Linked DNA regions of Elephas maximus indicus. The protein of the gene in region 1 interacts with the protein of each later gene in a pairwise test. Links are inferred from orthologs where the notes say so. Each region holds a gene or a part of one and is shown in the gene's direction. Other genes may lie near its edges.

What was found.
Region 2: the proteins of GABARAPL2 (region 1) and BCL2L13 interact in binary tests that used the Homo sapiens proteins (3 or more experiments, as listed by UniProt). The two-hybrid records come from large-scale screens. The link is inferred for Elephas maximus indicus from reciprocal best matches to the Homo sapiens genes GABARAPL2 and BCL2L13.
Region 3: the proteins of GABARAPL2 (region 1) and RETREG1 interact in binary tests that used the Homo sapiens proteins (3 or more experiments, as listed by UniProt). The link is inferred for Elephas maximus indicus from reciprocal best matches to the Homo sapiens genes GABARAPL2 and RETREG1.
Region 4: the proteins of GABARAPL2 (region 1) and KIAA1958 interact in binary tests that used the Homo sapiens proteins (3 or more experiments, as listed by UniProt). The two-hybrid records come from large-scale screens. The link is inferred for Elephas maximus indicus from reciprocal best matches to the Homo sapiens genes GABARAPL2 and KIAA1958.

Annotation. Positions count from the first base shown.
Region 1 is NC_064839.1:41,235,010-41,242,529, forward strand, and holds the start of GABARAPL2 (gamma-aminobutyric acid receptor-associated protein-like 2), read left to right. Parts: upstream 1-4,001; 5' UTR 4,002-4,110; coding exon 4,111-4,144; intron 4,145-4,464; coding exon 4,465-4,520; intron 4,521-5,633; coding exon 5,634-5,806; intron 5,807-7,520. UniProt on the Homo sapiens protein: Ubiquitin-like modifier involved in intra-Golgi traffic. Modulates intra-Golgi transport through coupling between NSF activity and SNAREs activation. It first stimulates the ATPase activity of NSF which in turn stimulates the association with GOSR1.
Region 2 is NC_064822.1:55,260,992-55,269,299, reverse strand, and holds the start of BCL2L13 (bcl-2-like protein 13), read left to right. Parts: upstream 1-4,879; 5' UTR 4,880-5,075; intron 5,076-5,082; exon of another isoform or gene 5,083-5,196; intron 5,197-8,308. UniProt on the Homo sapiens protein: May promote the activation of caspase-3 and apoptosis.
Region 3 is NC_064820.1:20,173,088-20,180,700, reverse strand, and holds the start of RETREG1 (reticulophagy regulator 1), read left to right. Parts: upstream 1-4,442; 5' UTR 4,443-4,532; coding exon 4,533-4,807; intron 4,808-7,613. UniProt on the Homo sapiens protein: Endoplasmic reticulum (ER)-anchored autophagy regulator which mediates ER delivery into lysosomes through sequestration into autophagosomes.
Region 4 is NC_064827.1:61,736,106-61,744,196, forward strand, and holds the start of KIAA1958 (uncharacterized protein KIAA1958 homolog), read left to right. Parts: upstream 1-4,717; 5' UTR 4,718-4,957; intron 4,958-8,091.

The DNA of each region.
Region 1 (7,520 bases):
TTTTATTTATTTTTATTGTGCCTTAGGTGAAAGTTTACAGCTCAAGTTAGTTTCTCATACAAAAATTTATACACACATTATTATGTGACCCTAGTTGCTATCCCTATAATGTAACAGCACACTCCCCCTTTCCACCCTGGGTTTCCTCTGTTCATTCAACCAGCTCTTAACCCTTTCTGCGTTCTCATCTTGCCTCCGGACAGGAGCTGCCCATTTAGTCTCATGTATCTACTTGAGCTAAGAAGCACACTCTTCATGAGTATCATTTATGTCTTATATATATAAAAAAATAGTCCAGTCTAATTATTAGTCTGAAGAGTTGGCTTCAGGAATGGTTTTAGTTCTGGGTTAACAGACAGTCTGGGGGCCATGTCTTCTGGGATTCCTCTAGTCTCAGTCAGATCATTAAGTCTGGTCTTTTTACGTGAATTTGAGTTCTGTACCCCACTTTTCTCCGGCTCCGTCATGTACTCTCTGTTGTATTCCCTGTCGGGGCAGTCACTGGTGATAGCTGGGCACCATCTAGTTCTTCTGGTCTCAGGCTGATGGAGCTCTGGTTTATGTGGCCCTTTTTGTCTCCTGGGCTAATATTTTCCTTGTGTCTTTGGTGTTCTTCATTCTCCTTTGCTCCAGGTGGTTTGGGACCAATCAATGCATCTTAGATGGCTGCTTGCAAGCTTTTAAGACCCCGGACACCACTCACCAAAGTGGGATACAGAGCATTTTCTTAATATACTGTTATGCCAGTTGACCTAGATGTCCCCCAAAACCATGATCCCCAGACCTCCACCCCTGCTACTCTGTCCCTCAAAGAAAACTTCTTAGCTTTTGGTTTAGTGCAGTTGTGCTGACTTCCCCTGTATTGTGTATTGTCCTTCCCTTCACCTAAGATAATTATTGTCTACTACTAGGTAGTGCATTCCCCTCTCCCTCCCTCCCCACCCTCGTAACCATCAAAGAATGTCTTCTTCTGTGTTTAAACTTTTGTTTGAGTTCTTATAATAGTGGACTCATACAATATTTGTCTTTTTGTGACTGACTGATTTCACTCAGCATAATGCCTTCCAGATTCATCCATGTTATGTTTCATGAATTCATCGTTGTTCTTTATTGTTGCATAGTATTCTAGTGTGTGAATATACCATAATTTATCCATTTGTCCACTGAAGGGCACCTTGGTTGTTTCCATCTTTTTTGCTATTGTGAACAGTGCTGCAATGAACCTGGGTGTGCATATATCTATTTGTGTGATGGCTCTTATTTCTCTAGGATATATTCCGAGGAGTGGGATTGCTAGATCATACAGTAGTTCTATTTCTAGCTTTTAAAGAAAGTGCCAAATCGATTTCCAAAGTGGTTTACATTCCCACCAGCAGTGTATAAGTGTTCCAATCTCTCCACAGCCTCTCCAACATTATTTTGTGGTTTTTTGGATCAATGTTAGCCTTGTTGGGGTGAGATGGTATCTCATTGTAGTTTTGATCTGCATTTCTCTAAAGGCTAACGATGGTGAGCATTTCCTCATGTGTCTGTTAGCTGCCTGAATGTCTTTGTTGGTGAAGTGTCTGTTCATAACCTTTTCCCATATTTTAATTGGGTTACTTTTCTTTTTGTTGTTGACATTTTGCAGTATCTTGTAGATTTGAGAGATTAGACCCTGGTCAGATTTGTCGTAGCCTAAAATTTCTTCCCAGTCTGCAGGTTGTCTTTTTACTCTTTCCGTGAAGACTTCTGATAGGATAAGTGTTTGATTTTTAGGAGCTTCCAGTTATCTAGTTTCTTTTCTGGTGTTTGTGTGTTGTTAATAATGTTTTGTATTCTGTTTATGCCATGTATTAGGATTCCTAGCATTGTCCCTATTTTTTTTCCATGATCTTTGTCATTTTAGATTTTATATTTAGGTCTTTGATCCATTTTGAGTTAGTTTTTGTGCATGGTGTGAGGTATGGGTCTTGTTTCATTTTTTTGCAGATGGATACTAAGTTATCCTAGCACCATTTGTTAAAGAGACTGTCTTTTCCCCATTGAACAGACTTTAGGCCTTTGTCAAATATCAGCTGCTCATAGGTGGAGGAATTTATGCCTGGATTCTCAACTCTGTTCCATTGGTCTATGTTGTAAAACCAAACTCTTTATTCCACCTCCAAACTGACTCCACCCTATTTTAGTAAATGGCAATTCTACCCCTTTAAGAACCTTGACTTTGACTTCTTGCTCACATCCCACAACCAAACTATTTGTTGGCTCTACTTTCAAAATAAATCCAGAATACAGTTACTTCCCATCACCTCCATAGACACCATCCTAATCTAAGCTAACATTATCTTTCACCTAGATTATTGCAATAGCCTCTTAACTGGTTCCCTTGCTTCCACCCCCACCCCCTTACAGTCTACTGTCTACACACAAGCTAGCCTGATCATTTAAAAGGCAAGGCAGATTGTGTTACACCTCTGCTGTAACTTCCATCATTCTGATAAAATCCAAAGTTCTTCCCATGGCATTTAAGGCTCAACACAGTTTTATTCTAGATCTCTCTGATCGCATCTTCTAAAACACTTGCCCTTGTTTACTCATCTCGAGTTGCAGGGATTCCTTTCTGTTTCTAGAATATGCCAACCACCCTATCCAAATAGCATTCCATCCCACCAACATTCTCTAATCACCTAACCTGTCTTATTTTTCTAAAGAGCACTTATAATGATCTGACGTTATTTTGCCCAACTAGAATGTAAACTCTGTAAGAACAGAAACATCTGTTTTGTTCACTGCTGTTTCCCCAGCACTTAGAACTGTGCTCCTATATGCAAAGACACTAATTTCTATGTATGAAATTAAAAGGATTTTTCACTTCACTAAAAACAAACAAAAATCTATTTTGGGTGCTCAGAAACACAATCATAAAATTAAAAAAAAATACTTTAAGAATGAAGCTAGATTCCACAGCATCCATCAGGAATTTCAACTATAGAAAATTATGAATGACAATATTCAAAGATATAGGACTTCCAGATGCATCAGAATCACAAGCATGTGACAGGAGTCATGTGCCCAATTAAGTGAATATTCTCGTTACCTATTCACCAGCTTATAAACAGAGAATGACCCAGTCTTGACTGCCCTGATGACTCTGCTTGGAAAAAGGGAATTACATCATGGACTGGAAAACCTCAAGGCATGTGCCCAGGCAGGTGATACATGCTCAGCCCAAGCTGTGAATTCTGGACCCCAATCTGGGTGCAAAACAAGGAATCCTGTCTCATGACCAGCTGCCAGAGGGATTCTCTAAGCCTGACAGTCACCTCTAACTCCTCTGCTTATTAAGGTTAAGGCGAGTCTCTTCGTGATCAGTGATGTTACACTCCTCAAATGAGTATTTGTAATATCTTTTCTTAAATGTTTTAAAAATTTATTCACGAATAGAGAAGAAAACGGGAGTTGTTTAAATTTGATTTCTATGTCCAAGGCAACCTATTTTGATTGTACTCACTACTACACCTTCGTGTTGTCATAAGTACCCCTTCCCCACAGTCGCCTCAAACTAGTCATACACCCCCATACAGAGCCTCCAACCTGCCACCGCTCCTAACAATGCTCCCCGAACTGTTAATACTCGCAAGCCCCCTGGCGTCATCAATCTTCAGAGACATCTCGTCAGTCATTCATATCCCCTAAATCCCTTTCCTGTCACCAACACTCCACTCTCCCCCGTCAACAGCCCTTCATAAGAGCCCCGTCCTATCCGCCATTCGCCCAATCTCCCCTTCCTGTCACCAACGGGCACCGTGACTCCGCTCCAGTCACCAGTTCCCCAAACATCCCCTCACGGACCAACTCGCCCAACCCGTAGTCAAGGCTACCGTCCTCCATTACCGCTCAGCTTCCCGCGAAGTCCTCCTGTACCCCTCCCCTTCAAGTGAGGCCGCGCCCCTTGCGTTTGGGGTCCGGACAACGGCACCGGAAGCCCCGCCCCCGCCGGTTGCTAGGCTTGGTTGCCGGAAGTCCCGCCTGCCGTGTAGTCGCCGCTGCCGCCGCCGTCGTCGTTGTTGTGGTCGGTGCGCTGAACACTTTGGCTCCGAGAGCCGTCTCGGTCCCCTTCTCGCCGCCGCCATGAAGTGGATGTTCAAGGAGGACCACTCGTTGGGTAAGCGGTTGGAGGCTAGCTGGGTCGCGGGGGGTTGGGGCGGCGGGTGGGCCCCCTCCCCCCACTCGGGCCGCCCTGGGCCGGGCGGGGCTGATGCCGCACCCCGGGTTTAGGTCGCAGAAGTCTCGGCACCCCGGGCAGCTAAACACTGAGCCCGTTCCGCCCTCCGTGGGCCCGACCGGGAGCCAGCAACAGAGAACAGCGGCCGCGGGGACGCCGGATCCAGGGCCCGGGGCGTGCGCAGGTCGCAGGGGGTGGAAGGTTGGGGGCCCAGGAACCGCACCTGCTCGGCCGTCAGCCCCTGTGTTTACTCCCCGCAGAACACAGATGCGTGGAATCCGCGAAAATCCGAGCAAAATATCCCGACCGGGTTCCGGTGAGTGTTCGGCCTCCCCCGCCCCCTCACCTCGCTGTCTAGGGCCCTAGACCAATCTACAGTGATAAGTTGAGGTTCTAGTCCCAGTTCTACCAGCAGACGGGCCAGACTGGGTTAGGGCGGTCAGGTGCCCGGCGTGAGGGGGCTCGGGTTGGTGCTGTTCAGGGTTCCTCAGTGCTGAATCTTCCGATCTAGGCCAGCGAGCTGTCTGCAGCCTCTGGGCTCCCTGGCTAATTACATAAGGATCGTTGTTCTAGGACAGGGCAACAGGTCACTGCCACTTTTGGGAATGGTGATGGAGGGAGATTGTCACTTTGATCGTGGAAGTACTACTTGAGTCTCAGGACATTCATTTTTAACTTCAAGCCTTAATTTTTAGCCAATCTCTAGCTCTGTTTCCTCACCCTGACCCTGTCATCTTGGTGACAAAAAAAACTTGAGAAGACAATGAAACCCCTTCTCCCCTGGTTTCCCCTAATCAACAATAAATGTGATCTCATATTTTTTTCATGCTGGAGTAGATAGTTTCTGTTATCTTTATTGTTAGAGGACATCTAGGCCTGTTATTGAAGCTCTTTGTGAACAGTTCTTTTGGGGGCAGGGGGCAAATTTGAAACATAGTTCACAGAAAAGCAACAAGCCAGATGAATACCTTCATTCTTGACTGGCTGGGATTGCCAGTCATTCCCATTAGTGCATCCCTTCTTGTCTCCTGGGTTCCTTGAGATTTTAATTCTCCTGTAATGTGAAGGCGGATTCAATTTAGGCCTTGGAGTAACAGGCTATACATGAAACCCTCACCAGATAATTCTTGGGTCTGCCCAAACTGTTGAAAAGCTTAGTAGTAAGGGCTGCGTTTCTCTTACGCAGGCTGAGATCAGGGATAAGAAATATAATTGACCATAGAAAAGTACTGCCTGATTTCATGTAACACATTTATATCAGCCCTCAACCTCTGGAGTGTGTGGTTTATTAAGCCAGGGACTAATTTTCTAATGCTGTATAGTTTCCTACCCACCTCCCAGCCCACACTCTGTTCATCAATTGTCCTGACAATTCAAGGCCAGAGCCTCACTTTAGAAATCCAGTTCTGACTTCTCTTTACTCTCTCAGGTGATTGTGGAAAAAGTCTCCGGCTCTCAGATTGTTGACATTGACAAACGGAAGTACCTGGTTCCATCTGACATCACTGTGGCTCAGTTCATGTGGATCATCAGGAAAAGGATCCAGCTTCCTTCTGAAAAGGCTATCTTCCTTTTTGTGGATAAGACAGTCCCACAATCCAGGTGAGAGACGGTCACTACATGGCCCCTCTGTTTTGGCCATTTGCTTAGCTGCATACAGAACTCAGAACTCTGGAGGTCTAAAAACTCTTAGGGCTCTTGGCTGGAAACCAAGACATCAGGAGCACCAGGAAAATGAGGAAGGGCTGCAGTACATGGAGTGCACTTCGTTTAGGAGTACAGAACAAGGCCTGGAGTTTTTTTTTTTTTAATGATGAAACCCATCCTCAGACGCCCAGGAATCCTTTAAAACAGTTGCAGACTCAGGCATAGAACTGAGATCTGAAATGAAGTTTTCTCCAGATCAGCCCTGTCACTCTTCACCAGGAGCTTGTAGTCCCTTTTGAGGCTTAGCGTCAGCTAATTTCCCTGCCTGATTGCTCTCCAAACTCAGTCAGCTCTTGCCACGGTGAGAGTCTGTAGTGCCTGATTCTCAAGCTCGTTAAAATGGCTGCTGTCCAGTAAAGGGCTCTAAGGTCTCTTTACAGACTGATACCTCCCTCCATACCACCAGCTTTGACCCACAGAGTAATGGCTACCATACTCTGTTTTGCTGCCTGGAAGCAGGCTTTGGCGTTAAAACTTTGGAGCCTAAATCTAGGCAGGAGCATTACAATCCTTTTCCATGTAGTTGACAACCCAGCTTTTGTCTCCTGTGGAAAGAGGAAAAGGGACTGGCTCCATCTAAACCACTGGCCAGTCTTTTCCCATTACTGATTGGGTACTTGTAGACCTGGAACCAGATTTTAACCCTTACCTTTCCCCTGGGTGGCTGTTATCTCGATGATCCAAGACTAAAGTTTCCTTTGTTACCCCCAAAAGTAGTATTTCTAAAAGCTAAGGCTTTCAGAAGCCCTGGGAACTAGCCCAGTGTGGCCAAAATAGGCTCTGTTTGAAAATCCTTAAAAGCTCCAGAAGAGACCTAAGCCAAATTCCAAACCTTATTTCTACTAAAGGTAGAAAGCTGTGGCTATTTTTAGGTCTGATTTCCTCTTTCTCAGTCTCTACCACCTCCACGTCCCAGTGTTTGGAAGAGAGGCAAGACATGGGAAAAATAAAAGGCTCTTCTTTAAGGCCAGTGACCTGCCTGGGGAGCTAGGCCAGGGCCTGCCCACTGGGTGCCATTGCCATTGGTCTGTGAAAGCTGTGATGTTGTCAGAGGTGATCTTGTCACCTCATTGGGTTTTTCTAGTCTTCCTTCCCCACAGGCCTCTGGGCAGTATGTTGCTGGGTGTATTAGTCACTAGGGGAGGAAGCCCTGGGCATCTGTGGTCACTCTCAACTTCCCTTAGGGTTGTTGAGAGGTAATCTTCATTTATATACCTGCAACTTCAGCAGGGCCTTGGCTACCCTGTTTCTTCCTTCCTGGAGGTGGGTTCTTGGAGGAGGAAGTAGGTGACTAGTTCGTATGGTATCAAGTTTGTTTTCCTCAACTCTGATCCATACTTCTCAAAGGATGTCGAAGGAAGTGAAGCAGGCTTCTGGAGACAGTAAAGTTACTCTGATGGCTCCTCATTAATCTAGCAATTAAAGCAGCTGCAGGTCTCACCAACTACCCCCTCCCCCATTATTCCCAAGATATAAATAGAATTGAAAGTGAAAAGTGATTCTCTGTCCAGGCAGCAGAGGCTGCTTCATGGCCATTTTCTCTCAAGCCTCGTTTGCCTTTCCAACCTGGTGAGAACTCGCCTTAAAGCAGACTATACCAGTGACCCAA
Region 2 (8,308 bases), on another chromosome or scaffold:
AAGAACGTGGTAAACTTCACAGAGAGAATCCCTGGAGTGAAAAAGTTATAATGAGTACACGCAAAGAGTAACCAATCGGTAGTTTTCCAAATTGAATTTCCTCCTACACTGCTTTAGGTCTTGTGAAGAAACTATTAAAACAGCTTTTTAGAAATATTTAAAAAATCCTCACTCCTGGATAAGCCTATTTGCCTATGGCTTCACCAAAATCACTGGCCTAGATAACTGTTAGGTTAGTTACAAAGCGATAATTTGTGGCATTGTCTCACCTACTACCATGCTGAGGCTTCACTATGTGGTTAAATTAGAAATTGAGTCAGCAGAATAGAAGAGCTAACTCATGAATTTGTTTGCTGGGTAGGACATAAAGGGGAAGACTAGAAATTAATGTAGATAATTTCTGTCTTTGAATGTTTGAGGAATCAATTTAAAAAGGAAAAACAAATTGTAGCAGAAAGTAGCACACCTCTAACTCAGGTGCCTGCACTTTTACCCTTTTCTAACCAATTTTCCACAAAACAGTGATTTAAAACCCAGGTAGCATCCATTCACTCCCCAATATATAATCCTCTAGTAGCTTCCATTTGCTCCTGAACACCTCACAAACGTGGCCTCTATGGGTGCTGCCTGATCAGGCCCTTCAACAAGACACTTCTTTAATTTTCTGGATACAAGTTCTTTGTCAGATACATGTTTTGTGAATATTTTCTCCCAGTCTGTGGTTTGCCTTTTCATTTTCTTAATGGTATATTGTGATAAGCAGAAGCCTTTAATTTTGATGATGCTCAATTTAATAACTTTTCTTACATTGTCCATGCTTTTGGTGTCCTAAGAAATCTTGACCTACTCCAAGGTTGTGAAGATATTCCTTTGTTTTTTTCTAAAAGCTTTACAGTTTTTGCTATTACATTTAGATCTATGACCCATCTCAATTTTTTAAAATAGTGTGAGATAGAGATCGAGGTCCATTTTTTTCCATACGTTTATCTAGCTGTTCCACAGCCATTAGCTGAAAAGACTTTCCCTTCCTCATTGAATTACACTGGTGCCTTTTATCAAATACCAATTGACCATATGTGTGGGGGTCCATTTCTGGACTTGATGTTCTACTGATTTGTCTATCCTTATGCCCATATGGAGCCCTGGAGGTGCAGTGGTTAAGAGATCGGCTGCTAACCAAAAAGTTAACAGTTCGAACACACCAGCTCCTTCTTGGCAAACCCTACTTTGTCTTGTAAGTTCATTATGAGACTTGATGGAAATGGGTTTGGTATGCCAATAAACCATCTTGGATATTACAGCTTTGTATTAAATCTTATAATCAGGTAGTGAGACTTGCAATTTTTAAAAAGATCATTTTCGCTATTCTAGGTCCTTTGCATTTCTGCATTAGTGTTTAGAATCAACTTGTCAACTCCCCCCTCCCCCCACAAAAAAACTGTAGGGATTTTGTTGGGGACTGCATTGAATATGCAGATAGATCAATTTAGAAAACTGATATTTTCTCAATATTGAGTCTTCTAATTTCTGAACATGGTATAGCTCTGCATTTACTTAAAGCTTTATTTCTCTCAGCAATGTTTTAGTTTGTGTAGAGTTTTCATGTCTTTCAAAAAAGTTATAACTTTCATTTTTTGATGCTATGTAAATGGAATATCTAATTTTTTTTTTTTTTTTTTTTACTTTCCAGTTGTTGGCCGCTAGTATAGAAATCAAATTGATTTTTATATCTTGTGACCTTTCTAAATACACTTATTGGTTCCTGGTTCTAGTAGTTGTTTTTAGGTCCTATAGGATTTTCTATGTAAACAATACCTAAAGTTTGATGTTTTAAACAGAACGGACTGTAAATCCTTACTAAGATCTATTCTGTGGGCAAAAAAACTGCAAAGAAATCTTACACTTTATTCAGTTTTATTGTATTAGTAGCCATGTATTAATTTTGAAATTATTATATTGTAGGGTAAAACAAACAAGTTGACATTAATGTTATTAGGAACCAAGAGACACAAATACAGAATAAGAAAAGAAAAATCCTTCATGTTATATTTGTTATATTTAAACATATTTGTTATATTTGAATTGAAGGTATCTACTTGAATTTATGACTTAAAAAATATATATCTATTTCCTAGATCTGTCCACTGAGAGGGCCTAGAAGTAAGGACACCTGGTAGAAATAAGAATACATCCACAACTTGGTTTCTAACTCCTATTTCCCTCTAAAAGGAACCACAGGCCCTTGGAGAAATGGCTGATTCCCAGTCTGGGGCGGGGAAGGTATGAGGTGAGTCCGGACATCTTATTTTACCAGCGAGCAAGAAAGCTCTCAAAAAGACTCCTGTGTCCTTTGACATAGAAGTGTGCTTGAAAGGGCTCTCACTGGCCAAATTAGGGACAATTTGGAAGTCAAAAAGAACAATGACTGTAATGTATTTTAAACCATTTAATAAATAAAAATCCATTTGTCCATAGTGTTAAACAATAAAAACAAATGAAAATACTCGTTTCAGCATACAGTGATTATTACACTAATTCCAGACTCTAAAAATTGACAATTACAGGAAATACTCAAGTATTTACTCTGCTTCACCCCGCCCCCACCCGGCCAAAAGCATGTGGAACTCATTCCCAGTTGATTCTGTAAATAAAAAAATTTCTTATTTACAGAATGCCAGCTAATAAATGTAGAAAGATGCAATTAGAAAATCACTATTTTCAATGCTCAGTGAAAACTATTTAAGCAAGAATAATACATGAATGCTGAAAGTATTAAGTGAAAGGTTATTGGGGAACAGGATCAACTTTAGCATCAGTAATAACAGGACTCCAGGCACACTAAATGCTCCTACATAATGTAACCTGAAGTACACAGCCTCACGTATGAAGAATTTTTCTCCAGAAATGTTTAATCTGAATCTAATCAAGTCTTTACGTCTGGTCTCTCAAAAAGCCAATGTCATTTTAAAAAATTAAAAAAGGCTTAAGAAACTAATAAAAGATAACCAAATGCAATGTATAAACATTGATTAAATCCTGGCTTAAAAATAAACAAAATTATGAAGGAAATACTTGGGCAGTTGGGGATATGTAAATATGGACTAGATTATTACATAATACTAGGAAATTATGGGTAAATCTCTTAGAGGCTGACTAAGCCTTTTCTTGGCAAATCTCTTCCCTATTTCTCTGATAATGGCACCACCATTTTCTGCCAGTCAGGCTTAAAGAATCCTATGACACCCATCTCAGTCTTCTCTTCATTTCCACCACACCTCTGTCAGTACAGGTTTTCATCACTTCCTTTTTAACAGCTTTATTGAGATACCTCACATATCATACAATTCACCATTTAGTTACCCAACCATCACTACAATCAATTTTAGAACACTTTTACCACCCCTAAAAGAACCCCTGTACTCGTTAGCAGTCACTCCTTTTTAAGGATTGAATTGTTTCCCCCTGAAATGTGTCAACTTGGTTACACCATGGTTCTCAATAGTGTGTGGCAGTCCTCCATTTTTTGATTCGATGTAATCATTCTATGTGTTGTAAATTCTAACCTCTATGATGTTAATGAGGCAGGATTAGAGGCATTTATTTTTTTTTATGTTAATAAGGCAGGACAATCTACAGGACTATCTCTTTTGAGATATAATAGAGGACAGGAACCTCCTTACCACCAAACAAGAAGATGCAGAAGCTGAGTGAGTCCTCTGGACCCAGGGTCCCTGTGCTAAGAAGCTCCTAGACCAGAGAAAGATTGATGACAGAGACCTTCCCCCCAGAACCTAGACAGAGAGAGAGAGAGATAGAAAGCCTTCCCCTATAGCTGACGCCCTGAATTCGGATTTCCACCCTCCTAGAAGAATAAATTTGAGAGAATAAATTTGTTTGTTAAAGCCATTCACTTGTGGTATTTCTGTTACAGCCATACTAGATAACTAAGGCACTCCTCATCAGGTTTTTATCACTTCTGATCTGGCTTCTTACAACAGCCTAACTCCGCATCTTCAACTCTCTTTGTTCCAATTCGACTCATCTACACCACAGACGATGTGACTGCCCTAAAACATGGTTTAGCTATTATACCCTCTTCCCTAGATACCTTCAGTGACTCCCCCAAAGGACGCTTCGATTGAAGTAAACAAATACCCATTACCCAGTGAACCCCAGTGCCGTCGAGTCGATTCCGACTCATAGCGACCCTATAGGACAGAGTAGAACTGCCCCATAGTTTCCAAGGAGCGCCTGGTGGGGTTGAACTGCCGACCCTTTGATTAGTAGCCACACAATGTATTCAGGCACTGTGCTAGGTGCTAGGAACAAATGGCTCCAAGGCAGCCTTGACTTCTCTATTCTCCTACACTCTATTAAAAATGGATTAGTACTGAAGGCTTCTGTTATCGCCATAGCGTCTCCGCTCAGGAAGTTGCCTCTGCCTAGAAGGTTCCCTCTATCCTACCCCCTCATCATGCCCTCGGAAATCTTCCCCAACGTTCAAGGTCTATCTTCCCTAAGGAGTGGGTCCAAATCCCGCAGCACTTGAGAAGCTCTTAACACTTATCTAATTGGCTCGCTTGCACATACTCGAAGCTCAACACACATCTGCAGAACTGAACATATCCTTTGGACGCAGCGAAGCTCCACTGCGCGCCATCTCCAGCCTCTCTCCCAACATCGCGATTGGCTCTCCAACGTTTTCCCCTCTCTCTCTCCTAGCCCTCTATGACCGGAAATGACTTGAGGCGAGGGCGCCTCCGAAATCCCATGGATCATAGATTTGAGCGACTCCCGGGAAGAGCGAGCTAGAAAGGGTCTGCTCTTCCGGGTCAGGTCTGCGCGAAGAAACTCCAGATCTCAGTTGTCCCAGCTTCCGTTTGGGAGAACAGAACCGCCCCCTTCCCGCGCTCCTCGGCGTCCCGGGCCCGCCCTGACGCTGGCGGTGACGGATGGCGGCGGCGGTAGATTAGGGCCGTGGGTCAAAGCAGGCACAGCCGCTGGGGGACCCTGTCGGAAGCAACTGCCGCTGTCGCCGCCACTTTCATCTCTTCTGGGGCAGGGGCCAGGGCCAGGTGAGGGGAGTGGGGTTCTGGGCACGCAGAGCTGGGCTAGGAGGCGGTTTCACCTCCGTAGGACGGTGTCCAGAGACTGTGCCGACCCCACCGGCTCCCCAGTGGTCCCAGCGAAGCGTGAGTGAGTAAAAGAGTGTGTGTGTGTGCCGACGCCCCTTCGCCTGAGAGCTCGCGAAGCCACGGGGTCCGTTTCATTATAACCGGACTTATCCAGCGTGGTCTCGCCGTGAAAGCGTGTTGAGCAGAGCGTCTCCCTGAGTGGGCTGCCTGAGGCGCAGGAACTTGGCCCATTCTCCGCACCGCTGTTATTCTCCACGGCTGTCTTCACGTGGAAAACCGGTTCCATTTTTAGGACCAGACTGGGGAAAGTGGACTTCTCTTGGTCTCAAAAAAGGTTTTTATGCGACTCACTTGGAATGATTATAGATCCGCTCTGTCAGTCGCTCATTGTCACAGATAGTTAGAAATCTTGGACTTCTTATTCTAAATTCACTGTTGTTCTGACGCCCATTATTTTTTTCATAAAAACCTGCATTCTTACCCTCAGAGGCAATACCGTTCACACTGAGTCCTTCTTTGCTCGCAACATTCCAAGGAGAGGATAAGGAGATCCCAAGTTTCTTTCCTTCATAACCGAACATGAGGGAGAATTTGGAATTTTTGAGTTGAAGCTGATTTCTTTGACTTAGCGTAATGTTTTTGAAAATCGGACGGATCTGACTAGTTGTTCACATGCTCTTGACTGGTATTAGCTCTGTTTAGCTCTTAACCGCTCCCTGCACAAGTTGTTTATCCGTAATCACTATTTCTGTCTCTACGTAGAAGTTTTGAACTGAGCTGACAGTTTGTCCCCTCCCTCTTTTTTTGGCTTTATGGTTTAAAGCAAAACAAACAAAAAGCCTTTTTTACGAAATTGTCTGTAGAATTTTTCCCCGGAGGCTTGGTATAAACCAGAATGTTGACCTCTGCCCTGACTTGTTGTGTGACCTTGGATGAGATGCCACACCCTTCTGATGCCTTTTTTTAAAAAAAACCCAGAAAATTAAGTATTGTGTGAACTGCTTAGACTTCACGTACACAGTTGGACATTTGTACCTGCACATTTGATCCTGCAGACTGAAAATACTTAAGCCATTATGAAGTACTCTTCATTTGATAATAGGCAGTTAAGCGTTTTGTAAATCCTCTTTAATCTGAATGGCCCGGTACCATTCTAAATTTTTTTTTTAAATGACTTATTTTCTTATGGAGGAATGTGACATAGAAGTTGAATTCAACTTAAGATGGGTCGTTTTGAGTCGGAATCAACTTGACCGCAACAGGTTTTTTTTGTTTAAGGTTGAATCCAGCCAGCTTTGTAAAGAAAAGTGTGCTTAGTAGCTCATCAGTTAATAAATCAGATAATATATTTATTCAGTAATAATCATTGTTTTAAAAATATTTTTCTTAAATATTTTAGACAATTTTTAAATAATCACTTAGTACCCACCCTGCTGCTTATTGCTTTTTCATACATGATTTTGATCCATATCTTAATCCAAATAAACGGTCATCAAGAGTTCTTGCTTAATGTATATTACAGAGTTGAAGGGGAGCCATTTCCAGAGTAGCTGATTTTTTTTAACAGCTTCATTGAGACATAATGAGTATTCCATACAATCTACGAATTGTACAATTCAGTGATTTTTTACTACATTCACAGAGTTGTACAAGCATTTTCATTACTCCAAAAAGAAACACCATAGCCATTGGTAGTCGTTCCCCATGCCTGGCCCTCACCCATTCCCTCCCCATCCCAGGCAACCACTAATCTATTTTTTGTCTGTGTATAGACTTGCCTGTTCTGGAAATTTCACATAAATGGAATACACAACATTTGGTCTTTTGTAGGTGATTTCTTTGACTTAGCATAGTATTTTCAGGATTCATCCATTTTGTAGCATGTATCGTGATTTCTTTCCATTTTATGGCCAAATAATATTCCGTTGTATGAATATACTACATTTTATTCATTAGTCGGTTTAGGTTAGTTGTACTTTTTGGCTCTTATGAATAATGAATATGTAATGCTGTTACGAACATTTGTGTATAAATTCTTGTGTTTCGTTTTCTCTTGGGTATATACCTGGAAGTGAAAGAGTAATCAAATTTTATGTCTATTTTGGATTTGTGTCTTTAACGACTGTTATGTTTATGTAGAATTCTGTGTCCTCAAGCTATATACATATAAATGGGAAGCTTAATTAACCTGTTGTGGGAGTCAGATTTTTTGTGTGTGTTTGTGGGAAGACTTGAGAATGAGGCCTTCCTCTCTACATATAACCACCAACTGCCGTGGATTAGATTCCGAATATATGTAGCAACTCTACGTATATTACCTAGAAATGCCAACTGCTGAGTGAAAATATTTTGGGGACAGCTCTTAACACGAGATTGAACTAGAGTGTTTCCATTAGGCATGTATGTTCAATTGGAAGAAGAGAGCCTACATAACAACTTACTGTCTGCTGAGTTTTAAAAAAATGACACCTTGCTTGTCTTGCGTTTTGCAGGTGGGTGGGATGAATTTGCAGCTTCACAATCTTTATTAAAAAACCCAGTGCCATCGAGTTGGCTCTGACTCATAGCGACCCTATAGGACAGAGTAGAACTGCCCCATAGAGTTTCCAAGGAGCGCCTGGTGGAGTCGAACTGCTGACTCTTTGGTTGGCAGCCGTAGCGCTTAACCATACGCCACCAGGGTTTCCGCAATCTTTTTTAGGATTATTCTGCTTCTTCTGAAGAAAGTCTTAGGATTCTATGTTGTTGTTCTGTGCCTTCAAGTCGACAGGACTGTATAAAAAAAAAAAATAAGTAAAACATGGCTTAGAAAATGCAGTTATTGGATTTCATGTTAATTTGCAGAATTAAAAAAAAAAACAAAAAACTTACCTGCTCAAACTATCAGCCTTGAGTCTAGAGATCTGGTAGTCAAGAAGTGTTAATGTTTAAAATTCCAGAGTCTTAATTTAGGACTGAGTTATCTGTGGATTTTTAGGTTTTTATTTTTCTCTCCATAAGCTGGAATTGGAAACCCTGGTGGCATAGCAGTTAAGTGCTGTGGCTGCTAACCAAGAGGTCGGCAGTTCGAATCTGCCAGGCACTACTTGGAAACTCTATGGGGCAGTTCAACTCTGTCCTATAGGGTTGCTATGAGTCAGAATCGACTCGACGGCAGTGGGTTTGGTTTTTTT
Region 3 (7,613 bases), on another chromosome or scaffold:
ATGAGTCAGAATTGACTCGATGGCACTGGGTTTGGTTTTTTGGTTTTGGCTTTCCTCAGATTAATAAAAACCCAAACCCGTTGCCATGGAGTCAATTCTGACCTGTGGCGACCCCACGCGTTACAGAGTAGAACTGCCCCATAGGGTTTTCTTGGCTGTAATCTTCACGGAAGCAGATCACCATGACTGTCTTCTGTGGAACAGCTGGGTAGGTTCGAACCACCCACCTTTAGATTTGTGGTCCAGTGTGTTGCACCACCCAGGGCCCTTTCCCAGGACACATATTGTCAAATAGCTTAGCTCATTAGCGCTCAGCATGCTGTTGCCAGTACTCGGTGAGGCAGAATTCAGGAGAGAATCTTGAACAGTAAAGTTACCCTCAGGAGTTTTCAACACTGTATGTTTGGGTTTTTGTATGTTCTTGCAACTAGGGGACGATGTTTATTGCCACCGCTGTGAGCATTATTTTTATGTAGTCTTAGCACTGAATGAATTACTCAAGCATCACAAAGATAATTAGACAAAGAAAAGACATTCAGTAGCATCAGTTAATGGGTCTATGCCAGTGTCTGTTCCTGTTTGTCAGTCATTATTAGAGGCCAGAGGTGCAAAAGACAGATGAGCGCAATTAGTCCAGCCCTTTATGCAAAACAGTTCTGCCTGTGAGTAGTATTTAAAAACAGGAGGGCTGCCAGTAGGGAGGTTTATCATTAAGCAAAGATAGTAAGTGTTGCAAACCACACCGAGCAACTGGAGCTTAGCTTTCACATATCTTGGTCCTCAACAGCTTTTGCTGTTTTCACAGATCCTGACACCAATAATTAGAATTCAGGGGGAGAAGGAGGAATGTGAAGAATCATGTTTTCTGGGAGCACTTCAACACTGGTGAGGGCAATGGGGAAGCCTGGTTCCCAGAGGAGCAGCCAAAGGTCTAAGAATGAGGCAAGCCCTGGGCTGTATCAAATGCTAAACGAAGTCCACATTACACAATAAAGCATCATTTATCTTTCAAAAGCTGATTCTCCAGGGCCAAGGGAGAAGCTCAACACCTCTGAAAAGACAAGTTTGTCTTTTGTGGGGAAAATCCTGCATTGTTTCCACAGTGCTATTTCACCGCCTCTCAGGCCACATTCCACTGGGTGGCAGAGGTCCTCTGAAAAGACACCAAGGGCTCCACATGGCCTTCAGGTTAAAAACCACTTCTGACACTGGTGGATCTTTCACTTCATTCCACTGCGAATATACACAACCAACCCTGCTTCTTGAATCAGCACCTCCACCTGCAACTCCATACCTTCCTCGTGTTAATCTCCCATCAGAAACCAGTGCCTGTCCCACCCCCTCTTCATTCTCCTTTCTTACAATGTAGCACCCAACCAGCTGCCGTGGAGTCAGTTCCGACTCATGGTGACCCGACATGTGTCAGAGTAGAGCTGTGCTCCACACAGTTTTCAATGGATGGCTTTTCAGAAGTGGATCGCCAAGCCTTTCTTCCAAGGTACCTCTGAGTGGACTCCAACTTCCAACCATTTGGTTAGAAGCCAAGCGCGTTACCATTTGCACCACCCAGGGGCTCCTACAATTTAGGTCAGATATCAACTATTCCAAAGAGCCTCCTGAAATCTGACTCCTCCACACCCTCCTTAATTTTGGATGCTCAACTTAAGCAAAGAGTCTCTTAGCACTTAGTCTTTATTTCTGTCACCGCATTGACCACGCTTGTAATTGGCTCCTTGTTGGACTGAACTTCCTGTGGGTGGAAGCAGTATCCACAGTTCGTGGAGGAGCACTGGGCATGTAGTAGGTACTCACTAAACCTGTGCATGGCCTTTGGGAATATACCTCTTTCAGATATAATATACATACAGAAAAGTACACACATCTGCAAAGCACAAATGGATAGATTTTTACATATGTGTATGCACGTGTAATGAACAGAACAAGGGGGTACGGTGTGGTTTAAAGTCAGGAAAGGTGTGCATCAGGGTTGTATCCTTTCACCATACCTATTCATTCTGTATGCTGAGCATATAATCCGAGAAGCTGGACTAAATGAAGAAGAATGGGGCATCAGGATTGGAGGAAGACTCATTAACAACCTGCAACACACAGATGACACAATCTTCCTTGCTGAAAGTGAAGAGGACTTGAAGCGCTTACTGATGAAGATCAAAGACCACAGCCTTCAGTATGGATTACACCTCAACATAAAGAAAACAAAAACCCTTTCAACTGGACCAATAAGCAATATTATGATGAACAGAGAAAAGACTGAGGTTGTCAAGGATTTCATTTTGCTTGGATTCACAATTAACTCCCACGGAAGCAGCAGTCAAGAAATCAAAAGGCACATTGCATTGAGCAAATGGGCTGCGAGAGATCTCTTTAAAGTATTAAAAAGCAAAGATGTCACCTTGAGGAATAAGATGTGCCTGACCCAGGCCATGGCGTTTCAATCGCCTTATGTGCATGTGAAAGCTGGACAATGAATAAGGAAGCCCGAAGAATTGACAGAATTGATGCCTTTGAATCGTGGTGTTGGCAAAGAATATTGAATATACCACGGACTGCCAAAAGAACAAACAAATCTGTCTTGGAAGAAGTACAACCAGAATGCTCCTTAGAAGCAAGGATGGCAAGACTACATCTCACATACTTTGGCATATCATCAGGAGGGATCAGTCCCTGGAGAAGGATATCCTGCTTAGCAAAGCAGAGGGTCAGCAGATAAAGAGGAAGACCCTCAATGAGATGGATTGACACAGTGGCTGCAACAATCGGCTCGAGCATAGCAACAATTCTGAGAGTGGTGCAGGACTGGTCAGTGTTTCCTTGCATTGTGCATAGGGTTGGGAACCAACTCCACAGCACCTAACAAGAACAACAACATGCATGTATAAACATAAGCAAGGACCACTCAGATCAGCAGAAGGAATGTTTCTCCAGACAATCCCTTGAGGCAGAGGGCTTTGAGCGCTCTGGGAAGGAGCCCCAGGCAGCCTGTGAAAGCTGGCTGGTTCTAGTGGTCGACTCAGATATGAAAGCCCTGCTTTATTGCATGCAGAGCTCTAGGGATGGGTGTGTACAGGTGGGGGAGAGGGATAATGTTTTATCCTAGAAGCAAGAACTGGGAGATTAAACAATAGAAACATTTATAAAACACAAATAGTGAAAAGCGAGCATATACAATCACTCCCCATCTCCCACAACTGTTCAGCCAGAAGCCCCAGGGCCAAAGAGGCTCAGCATTGTGAGGTCCCAGGAGACCCTGTCATCTGCTCACTGCCTCCTCTCCTCCACCCTGGTGCCTGCTTGTGACAGGAGACCTCAGTGACTTTGAAAGAACTGCAATCTGGGCTTGCCAAATCTGGTTTATATAACTTCGACTCTGTTCTTCGCTCTGCTACATAGAAACTGTGAAAGTGCCCTGAATTTTCCCAGTGCCAGCACTTCCAAGGAAGCTTTCAATAATTGCTACTACTTTTGCAGTGACAGAATGGCCTGTCTATAAATGCCTGTAGATGATGATGATGATGGTGAGTACTCTGACAGCAAAAATCGAGTCAGCTTCTTTATTATGGAGTGTACTCTCCTTAAAATTGGGAAAGGGTGTGTCTTTGGGGGGCACTGGGCAAGAACACTATATACTTTTATAAAGGTAAAATGACATTTAAATATCAAAGTACCTTTGTAAAGAAAACTGTGAAACCAAAACGCAGAACAAAGAATGGATGTGAGAAGAGCAACAGCACACCCTCACCCTTTTTATTGGTGGCAGGGATGTCCCTTACTGAGTGCAACCCCACTCACCTGTGCCTTTGAGCCAAGTCACTTTACCCACAAGAAACCCAGAGTCACAGAGGGAAAGGGCCTTCCTCCAGCGCCGCGGCCTTGCATTTCCTCACTTGTAAACGAGAGGATCAGGCTCTCCGTAATTGACTCCAATTTTTTTTTTCCCTGCTTTCTCAGTCCAACATTTATATCCTCATGGTACTTCCAGGATGCCAAAGACCTCAATGCCTATGGTTTGTGCAGGCTGTGCCCTGTGAGGGCACTGGGCTGGGGGAAGGTGAGGGGACTCGATGGGGCTGAAATCCGCTGTCACAGGCTCCAGGACCGGCGGGCGGTAGCCCTGGCTTGAGACAGTGGAGGTGTCCAATTTATTTTGCTTGTAGCCTTGACTTCATTTTAGATAAGTAACCTGCAGCGGCGTCACCTCTACTTCAGACCCACTCCCCCAGTCGGAAACAAAAAGGGGGTAGCGTTCATTTTCTGTGGTCCCTGGCGAAGCCAGTGCCAGGTCCGAGCGCCCCGGAGAGAGCGCAGCTGCGCACCCACCGCGCGGGGATGCCGCCCGGCCCCGCCCCCGCGTAAACTTGGCCGCACCCACTTCCCCGGGCGGCGCCCCCGCCGCGGCCCGGGCTGACGTCACAAGGCACCCAACCACCGGCGCCCCGCGCTGCGCGCCCCGCGCCCGGACCCGCCGACACCCAGGCGCGCCGCGCGTCCGCGTCCTCGCCGCGCCGCGGAAGATGGCGAGCCCGGCGCCCTCGGAGCCCGCGGAGGAGGGATGCCCGGCCCGAGCTCCCCGCGAGGAGGCGCAGGAGGAGGAGGGAGCCCACGAGCAGCTCGCGGCGGCCGGCGCCGAGCGGCAGGTGGAGGAGGCCGCGGGCCGGGCGGCCGCCGCCGAGACCTGGCTGCTCGGGGAACCGGTGCTGTGGCTGGGCTGCCGCGCCGACGAGCTGCTGAGCTGGGAGAGGCCGCTGCGCAGCCTGCTCGCCTTCGTCGGCGCCAACCTGCTGTTTTGGTGAGAGCCCGGGTGGGTGGGGGCGCTGGGGAGGGCAGGTGACCTTGGGGCGCCCCGGGGCGGGCGGGCGGAGGGCGCGCCCAGAGGCCGGGGCGGGGGCTGGCGGGGCGCACGCTGGGCACTGCAGAAGAAAGAGCGTAGCCCGGCCCCACTTTCCGGGCCACCTGCCTCGGACAGGTAGACACTTCACCTTGCCTCCAGACACACTCGCCTGTAAACAGTAGTCAACCTCGTGGGTGTATCCAGCCTGAGACTGGAGGTGGTCAGCTAACCTGCACGCACCTGTCCCTACAGGTGTGCCCGGCGTGCTGGAAAACTTCGGCTTTTCCTTTCTATAACTCGCAGGTCTTGACCTGCTCGCCCAAGCATGCCTGAGCCAACGTGCTTGAGCTTGTATTCATTCTGCACCCCGAGCAGGCGAATCTGGACCATCCTAGATACACGTTCAAGGCTGCGCCGCCTTCCTGAGCCCCCTGAGATGGGCCTTGAATGGCTTGTTTTTCCTTTCCCTGGAGTGTTGGGTTTACCGTCTTTACTCCCTGACCAGAAAACAGTCGGTAGACAGGTGGATTATGTACAGCATCCCTCCCTCCAGGTGTGCACAGTGTGGAAAACAGACATATTTTTAGGTGATGGACAGAGAGAACACACAGGAATGCTTTCTTAAAAGCCCACAATCAACAGGTCTGTCTCTCTAAAAAGTGCTTTTCGCTGTTAAGGAGGTAGGGAAGTGTCTGGCCCCTTTACTGAAGGACTTATCCTGTCAAGGCTCCCGACCTGAATGAGGGTGGGGTCCGGGGGAAGCCTCTGTCTAATGTGCCTACAGAACAAACATGACCCCCAGTGTGCAGGATAAGCCGAGTTTCAGAAACACGTATCTTGTTACAGGACCTAGATTTCTTCACCTTAAAGTTTGGGAATATACACAGTTTACTCCACCCTCAATTTTCTAGGTTAACGTGAGAAATGTGAAGATTTTTCTGCAGCTTCTGCCCTAGTCCTGTTTTTCTCCTCACATGACCTATGTCTGTCTTATCCGGGTCCCTGAGTGTGAATTAACTTTACCTTGGGCATCTTAGCTGTATCTCTTAGCTCTCTGTAACAGCTAAGGTAGAGTTTATTTCAAAAATCTCCAGCCTGATAATAAAATCTATTAAGAAAACATTCTGCATCCCACTTTCGAGAGAGATGTCTGGGGTCTTAAATGCTAGCAAGCGGCCATCTAAGATACATCAACTGGCCTCAACCCACCTGGAGCAAAGGGGAATGAAGAACACCAAAGACAAAAGGTAATTATGAGCCCAAGAGACAGAAAGGGCCACAGAAACCAGAGACTACATCAGCCTGAGACCAGAAGAGCTAGATGGTGCCTGGCTACAACCAATGACTGCCCTGACAGGGAACACAAAAGAGAACCCCTGAGGGAGCAGGAGAGCAGTGGGATGGAGACACCAAATTCTCATAAAAAGACCAGACTTAATGGTCCAACTGAGACTAGAAGGACCCCAGAGGTCATGGTCCCCAGATCTTCTATTAGCCCAGGGCAGGAACCATTCCCAAAGCAAACTCTTCAGACAGGGATTAGACTGGACAATGGGATAGAAAATGATAGTGGTGAAGAGTAAGCTTCTTGGATCAAGTAGACGCATGAGACTCTGTTGGCATCTCCTATCTGGAGGGAGATGAGAGGGCAGAGGCGATCAGAAGCTGGCTGAATAGACACGAAAAGAGAGAGTGGAGGGAAGGGGTGTGCTGTCTCATTAGGGGGGAGAGCAACTAGGAGTATATAGCAAGGTGTATATAAATTTTTGTATGAGAGACTAACTTGATTTGTAAACTTAAAGCACAATAAAAAAAAAAAAAACCCAAACTCCAGCCTGTTATGAAGTTACACAAACACTCAAATGGAGAATATATTGTAGTATTCTCGATTGGGCAACAGGCCAAATACTGTTAGGGTTGTGAAGAGGCTCAGATCTTATTATCTCATGTATCTTACCAATGGGGGACATGTTTCTAAAGCTTTTTTTGGTTATTATTTAAAATTTTATTTTTAAGAATAGCTAATACATTCTCAGGGTTCAAAAGTTTAAAGGTACAAAAAGGTAAAACCCATTGCCCTCGAGTGAATTCCAACTCATAGTGACCGTAAAGGACAGCGTAAAACTGTCCCATAGAGTTTCCAAGGAGCAGCTGGTGGATTTGAACTGCCCACCTTTTGGTTAACAGCCAAGCCCTTAGCTGCATCACCACCTGGAAAGGTGCGCAGGGTAAATACTCTAAAACTCGCTTTCTCAAGCCTGTCCCTGGCCACCTAGTTTTTGCCCAGTGACAATCAGTGTTACCAGTTTTTAGTATTCTAGGCAAATTGTGGAATACTGTGTGGGTGATAAGGAACCCTTGTGGTGCAGTGGTTAAGCGCTTGGCTGCTAACTGAAGGGTCATCGATTTGAACCCCCCAGCCACTCCACAGCATAAAGATGTGGCAGTCTGCTTCCGTAAAGCTTCCAGCCTTGGAAACCTTATTAGGCAGTTCTCCCCTGTCCTCCAAGGCCCCTGTGAGTTGGAATCAATTGGATGGCAATGGGTATATGGACATTACTCTTCTCAGTATATCTTGCCGATCACTTCCTCGTTCTTTTTCAGAAGCATAGAATTCTGAAAGTTTAACCTGCCCACTACTGATGGACTAAGGTTGTTCCCAAACTTTGGTATTACAGCGTTCTAGCTGATGGCCTTGTGCATGTATCATTTTGCATATATGCAAGTATTTCTGTAGGGTAAATTCTCCGAAGTGGAATTGCTG
Region 4 (8,091 bases), on another chromosome or scaffold:
TGTTCTGACTGATGATATTGAGGTTTTCTATCGTCTCTTTCCACAGATGTGGTCAATTTGATTTCCGTGTGTTCCATCTGGCGAGGTTCATGTGTATAGTTGCTGTTTATGTAGGTGAAAGAAGGTATTTGCAATGAAGAAATCGTTGGTCCTGCAAAATTCTATCATTCAATCTCCAGCATTTTTTCTATCACCAAGGCCATATTTTCCAACTACTGATCCTTCTTCTTTGTTTCCAACTTTTGCATTCCAATCGCCAGTAATTATCAATGCATCTTGATTGCATGTTTGATCAATTTCAGACTGCAACAGCTGATAAAAATCTTCTATTTCTTCATCTTTGGCCCTAGTGGTTGGTGTGAATATTTGAATAATAGTCTTATTAACTGGTCTTCCTTGTAAGCATATGGATGTTATCCTATCACTGACAGCGTTGTACTTCAGGATAGATCTTGAAACATTCTTTTTGACGATGAATGCAACACCGTTCCTCTTCAAGTTGTCATTCCCAGCATAGTAGACTATATGATTGTCCAATTCAAAATGGCCAAATACCAGTCCATTTCAGCTCACTAATGCGTTCCATTTCCTTTTTGACAATTTCCAATTTTCCTAGATTCATACCTTGTACATTACAGGTTCTGATTATCAATGGATGTTTGCAGCTGTTTCTTCTTATTTTGAGTTGCACCACATCAGCAGATAAAGGTCTCAAAAGCTTTACTCCATGCACGTCATTAAGGTCGACTCTACTTTGAGGTGGCAGCTCTTCCCCAGCCATCTTTTGAGTGCCTTCCAACCTGGGGGGCTCATCTTCCAGCACTATATCAGACAGTTTCCCACTGCTATTCATAAGGTTTTCACTGGGGAATGTTTTTCAGAAGTAGACTGCTGGGTCCTTCTTCCTAGTCTGTCTTATTCTGGGAGCTCAGCTGAAACCTGTCCTCCATGGGTGACCCTGCTGGTATCTGAATACCGGTGGCGTAGCTTCCAGCATCACAGAACGTGCAAGCCCCCACAGTACGACAAACTGACAGACACGTGGGGGAGCCACGGCAATGCCCTCTCAAAAATGTCTGCATCTCAGCTGCGGGGAGGAATTCCTCTTCCTGGGGGCTCTCCCTCAGCCCATCAGGGCATTCTCTATATCTGCTATTATACTTTCTTTAGGATTCTCTTTACTTCCTACAGGTACTTCCTCATTACTGCAATTCCCTGTTACAGTTAGTAAGTCTTTATATTAAACATTCCCAGCTCAAACTAATGTGTAGTTTCTCTCTTCTGATTGATCCCAAAGGGATACAATCATCTTACTTCTTTTCCATTTATTCTGTATATCTTTGTTCATTTTTTCTGGCCTTCATCCATTTCATTCTGCCTTCCATTTTATCTCCACTATTGACTTTTTGGAAACCCTGGTGGCGTAATTGTTAAGAGCTATGGCTGCTAACCAAAAGGTTGGAAGTTTGAATCCACCAGGTGCTCCTTGGAAACCCTATGGGCAGCTCTAGTCTGTCATATAGGTTTGCTATGAGTTGAAATCGACTCGATGGCAACAGCTTTGTTTGGTTTTTATTGACATTTTAGCTATTTGTTTTTGTTGTATTTTCTAGAGGTCATTCTAGAGCTTACAATATGTAACTTGTCTTATTGTACTTCAAATAATATCACCCCATTTTCAAGGCTCATCCATATCATGTCATGCTTCAGAGGTTTGTTCTTTTTTGTGTCCAAATAATATTGCCGTGATATTTACAGACCACATTTTGTTTTTCCATTCATCTGTTGACCGACATTTGGTTGTTTCCACTTCTTGGCTATTATGACTAATGCTGCTATGAACATTCACATACAAGTTTTTGTGTGGACATATGTTTTCATTTCTCTTGTGTATACACCTAGGAGAAAAGTTGCGGAGTCAGACGGTAACTCTATGTTTAACCTTCTGAGTGACTGCCAGTCTCTTTTCCAAAGTGGCCGCACCATTTTACAATGCTATTAACAGTGTATGAAGGTTTCAATTTCTCCACATCCTCACCAACACTTATCTGTCTTTTTGATTATAGCTATTCCAATGGGTGTGTAGTAATATCTCATTGTGGTTCTGATCTGCATTTTCCTGATGACTCTATTTGATTCTTTTTTTAACGTTCAATTTCCCTAGTGGCAGTCTCTATCCAATTATCTATTATTTTGAACACATTAACCATAGCTATTCTAAAGGTTAATATCTATAATATCTGGATCATGTGTCTATTATCTTTTTTTCCTCTTGGCTTTTGTTAAGAGTGTTCTTATTCTTGGCATATTTGGTAACTGTTGATGGAATGCTAGACTTTGTATACAAAAAATTTTAAAGGCTCTTCCACCAACGGGGATTTTTTTTTTTTTTTCCAGGCAGGCAGAACATGGGAAGATCACCTTGATCCAACCAGGGACTGAGATAGTTCAAAGCTGTGTTTTAGGCATTGTGAGGGCTATTTCCACTTTGCTTTTGCTCCCAGGATATAGTTCTTCAAGGCTCTCAACTGAAAGCCCAGGGGAGATGGGTTTACCAGGGACCATCCTTCCCATTTAATTCTTTCCAGCGTCATGAGACTGTCAACAATTTTTGGTTAGTTTTTTTTTCTTTTTCTCAACAGCTGCTTTCTACTTGTTTTCTTGACTTCTTGCATGCACAGGTTAGGAATCAGGAAATGCTTTGAGGGAAAATGACATATAGAGTGACTGGCTCCTTCAATTGCCTATTCTCTGGGATCTTGGTCCCCCAATTCCAAGCTGCATTGATAGACTTAGTGTCCTTTGTTTTTGTTTTTTAAAGAAATCTCCAGCCCGATGAGACTGCCACAGCTCCAGGATGCCACTTTCTGCTTGGTTTCTATACTCATTAACACCAATCAACAACGTCCCAAGAAGGAAAAGTAGTTGAGAATATAGAACTCACTTCAATATGTTCTCCTTCTTCCTGTACTCTTGGACTGTCAAAATTTGGCCAACTTTGCTCTCCAATAGCTTTAAAGTTTTTTTTTTCCCCTTAAAAAAAAAAATCCAGCTTTTATAGTTCTCAGTGGGAGAGTTAGTTTGTTCAACAAGCTCCACTCCATCATAGCTGGCATAATTAAAAAAATTCATCCTGATGGAAATTTCATTTAAACAAACGGGATTTCAACTTTGAAATATGCAGTAATTAACTGCATTTTTGTTTGTTTTTTGCACAGACATTATTTTGTCAAAAATGTTTACACAGATTACTTTATTCAGCCTAGATCAGGCAGAGTTTTGACAGAACAAGGTGCTGAGAATATTGACCTAAGAATATTTGCTCTGGAGATTGAGAAGAATTGGTGTAGAATGCCATATAGGAGAGTTTGCCTGAGGTGACAAAATAAGTTATTCACCTGGGTTTTGGATGACCATGGATTCTTTTTCCTCTCTCTTTCATTGTCTCTGTGTTTCTCTTTTCTTCCTTCGCCTACCCCAAGCATAGGAGTGGCTTTCCTGTCACAAGCGGGGTAAGGCCAACATCTTGAGGTTCTTAGAACCCAGGAAGAAGGGAAACATATTGACATCAGTTCTATATTCTCAGTCATTTTTCTTCCTGGGGCATTGTTGATTTGTGTCTAGAGGTATAGAAGACAAACAGAAAGTGGCATATGAATAATCAGATATGTTCTAAATGTTATTTATTAGTATCATTATTATTTTGGAGATGCTTTGTGCTGTTAAGAAGAAAGGAAGTTAAGAGCATGGGATGTGGAGCAAGACTGCCTGGGATTCAATGTGGGCTCTGCCACTAGCTATGTGATCTTGAGCAAACTTAATTTCTCTGTGCCTCAGTCTCCCCATCTGTAAAATGGGGATACTAACAGCAACTAACAGTTGCTGGGATTAAATGAATTAATATTTGCTAAGCATTTTTTTTTTTAAGCACTTAGTGCAAAGTCCGAGTACACAGTAAGTACTATTAAAGTGTTAAATAAGGTGGAGGATACCCAGTAGCATGTAGCACGTCCAGCCTCACCTCTGTTGTAGGTGGTGTCATTGCATGGTTCCATGGAGTGTGGGAGGACCTAGTTCTAAGTTTGTTTTAGGACTCATTAACCACCCCCGGCTCCTGTGGGATGGGGGAGTGTGACGGGTGTGTGTGTTGTAGTTGGATGTTAGAAACCTCCACGAGGTGGTTGACTGTGGTTGTTTGTATATCGGTCAGACGTGCTCTTATTCGTCCCTGGCTATAGAGGTGTCTGCTCAGTGCACTTTAACAGGTGTCACATACCGAGGAACAGATCAGATTTTGTTTGTTGCGTCTTAGTTGGAGGTGTATGGACCTCCGAGGGGTATCGAGGTCCTTGGACTGGGGCTTGCGGTAGGAGCGCACGCTGCACACTTCCGGAACATAATGGAGATCACAGGCTCCACACCTGTCCGGGCAGCGGGGACTGAGCTCCAGAGCGTGAAAAAGGGTTGTTACAAACCTCCCCAGCCAGCGCGCGCGTGTGCGTGTAAGGAGGGTGGTGCACACCTCCTCCAGGCAGCGACGACTGTAGGCTCGGTGCGTGTCGTAGGAGGTGTCGTTACACACTTCCTGTGGGTCTCGCCGACCACGGCGCGTTTCCGGTGGCGGCTGGAGCCGGGGGTCCGAGCCCCCGCCCCGCTCGTCGGCCCCGCCCCGCCCGTGCCCCGCCCCCCTTTCGTGCCCGCCCGCCCGCCGCGCTCCGAGCAGGGCGCTCGGAGCCCGGGGCGCACGGAGCGGCGCGCGCCGGTTGGCCGAGCCAGACTGGCGCCCCCACCCGCCGCCCGCCGGGCGCGTTCCACGCTCCACTTGTTTTCGGTCCGGGTCCCCTTGGTCGCTCTCCCTCCCTCTCCTCTGTCCCGCCCCGTCCAGCCTAGGCTGCCCGGCTCCCGCAGGCCCCCCCATCGCCCGCGTTCCTATGGACAGACGCACAGACACCTGCAGGTGGGTGAGAGCCCGTGCGCTGGGCGGGGACGAGCACGCTGAGACTGCGACCTGGGCTGGGGAACCCCTTTGTGTGGGGGGTGGCCCCGCTGGGGTCTGCTCTGCCTTCCCCTCCGCTGCCGCGCAGTGACCCGGCTGAACCTTCCTTTTGTCTCCTCTGTGGGGGGAGAGGTCCAGAGGGAGGGCAGGGACCGGGCGGCTGGACGTTGGCGGCAACAAGCTGGGGGGGGGGCGGTCTCAGAGGTGAAGACCCCAGGCGGCCGAGTGGGCTCCGGGAGCGAGCGCAGGCTGTGGCGGCCGCAGCTGTGATCTCGGCTCCTCCGGGGCCGGACGGCCGGCCGCCTAGCATCTCCTGTGGCCGCGGCGGCCGCGGGCGCACTGCATGGGTCTGGCTCGCCTGCTCCTGCTCTTGGATTTGTTTGAGGTGGAAAAGAGGGCGGGAAGGAGAAAGAAGAGATCTGCCACTCTAGTTTCCAAGTCTTGGGATGGCTATGGAGAGAGAGGGAGAGAGGTGGTTCAGGGCTTTGCCGGACTTGTTTCCCTCATCCGGAGGCACACTGAGGTGCGTTTGGGGCGTGTGTGTAGGAACGTACGATCGCTTCGGTCTCTTATTTATTGTTTCTAACCGAGGAGGGCTTTCTCTGAAAGCCTCCCCCCATCTGAGGCTGCGCACAGTGATTTGTGTTTGTTATCAAATATATCAAGAAACGTATCCCCCTGGGTGAAAGGAGCGTGGGCTGACCGAAATCGGACCAAGATCAAAGACCTGTTTTTGTTTTCCTGGCGACTTTTTTTTTTTTTAAAGATTAGATACAGACAAGCAAAAACAAAACATGGCTGTTATTTTTACAATTACATATTAAGTTTTGTTTCTTTAAAGTTTTAGGGTAAAGTTCTGTTATCTCCCAGACTCTTTAGCATTAACATGATAGAAAATTCGACCCATTAAAATAACAACAGGCGAGTCAGGTGGTGACAGCCTCCAGTGTGGAGGTTAAATTGGAAATAAGCGTTTATCTAGCTTATCACTTATCATTCTGGCTAAAACCTTCATTTTGCCGGTTTAAGATATGAGACATTTGACACATATGGGAGAACATGAATGTTAAAACGGATTTTTCCTCCCTGCGATAGTGCCTTCTTTATTTTATTATATATAGTTATATATTCTGTTGGGTTGTATATGGTGAATTTAGTGTTTTGAAAAGTACTGTAGGGTGATATTTCCGATTTATATTATTTAATTAGCTGGCTTTTTTTTTTTAACAGTTGGTATGTATTTGTAGATCTTCAAATAAATGAATAAGCACCCAAACAATTCTCTTCACAGATTCAGACTTTTAATACAGGTAGTTTTATTCTTTGTATTAATGTCAATCTGTTGCTTACTTTTGAAGACAAATATGTATATTTTTCCCTAGTATATGAGAATATATGTTGACAAGCTTAAGTCTGACAGTTACCAAAGAGATGTTTAAAAAATCGGATTTGAGGGTACTCAATTATATGCAGTCACATGTAGAAAATGGAGGCTTTCTTAAAAAAAAAATCCAAACTCAAATGAAAAACATGAAGGTGGAAAGTATTTAAGTTTTCGTAAAGTATGGTGTAGAAATTCATCAGAAAATAATAATACTATTTTAGTGCCTTTGTAATTAAGCAAGCTAATTTTTGTCACTGTAAAGAAAAAATAATTTAGTATGCTTAAAATAGTGGTCTTTTTCTATGGAGAAAAATGTATCCCAGATTATTTCCCCAGTTACATTAACAGAGTAATATTATTTATTGTATGACTGCTTTTATAAATGCCTGGAGTGTATAGCGTATACTTATGAACACTTTTCTTAAAACCTAGAAGAGGTTACATTTCACAGTGATCACTCCAGATCATATTTTATTAGTTCTTGCTTTAGATTTCCGGTGTAGATGAGATGAATGAATTGAAACTGCATAAAGGCACAGAACTCTGATAGGCTCTGTCCCTGGGACTGGAAGGCCCTTGACAAATGTTGCTTTTCCTTTCCCATTAAAGATGGCCCAAAGAGGATGGGTATTGAAATTTGTTCAGTCTTTATCATGAATCTGGAATGAAGTTCTAAACCATTCCCAGAGTTTCAGCTCTTAGATACATGTAATTTCATCAACCCTTTGAAGTATTAAGAAAGATAAGCTTAAAAATTGAATTGTTTATGTGTTTACAAGGTTGTCAGTGGACATGAGAAAGTTTAACAGAATACCACAGTGTAAACTAAATATTAATATTTTTGTGTGGCCTGTGCTGAGAATAGCTTTGGCAGAGTTGGAGTTGTGCCTAATAGAGCTCTCAGACTGGCAGTGTAGTGTCTTTGTGTGGGCCGGCTAAAGGATAATACCTTTTTTTATTTTTTAACTCTGCTGTGCAGATATTAATTTTTTGTTTTGTTTTTATAATTAACAGTAATATTTTAGCATAATCAGAAGCCTTCCAGAGAACCTTTAATATTTTCAATTGATCTCCCTTTTGGTAAGTTGGTGTTTAGGAAGGCATATAAATTTGCCACTTTTCACGGTTGAAATATTTTTTCCTGCTTTATTTTGTTACGACAAACAGATGCTGCTTTCAGAAATTTTGAATTTGTGTAAAATTGGAATTTTAACTATATCTGAGCAATATAACCTGACAGCAATTTGTTTTTGTTTTAAAACAACACTAAGCTGTCCACAGCTTACTGGACTTTTCTAGCATTTTCCTATCTGCTACTTATCAATGTATTCTCATTAAAGGAAACTTAAAATGGCCACTTTAACTGGAACCCTCAAATGACTAGCAGTATGATTAATAGTAACCAAAAGTGAAGCTGGAAAGTAAGAGTTTGATTCTTTATAATAGGTCTGTGACTTTCAAGTCCTTTTTCATGTTGTTTTTTGAAGTCTGGTGGGGATGCAGGTCTGATTCTAAGAGATACCGGCAATGACCTCCCATTCCAGACCTTATCCTGCATTGCTTAAGAACAGTGGAAGCCAATGCTGATCGCCTAAAAATGCAGAATTCATTCTTGGATTAATATTCTGCTACCAGATGTATGAGGCTGGCTCTAAAGATGCTTTTTCTCTTAAATACTGTCAAAAATAGAGAAGCTGAAGATTGGAGAGAA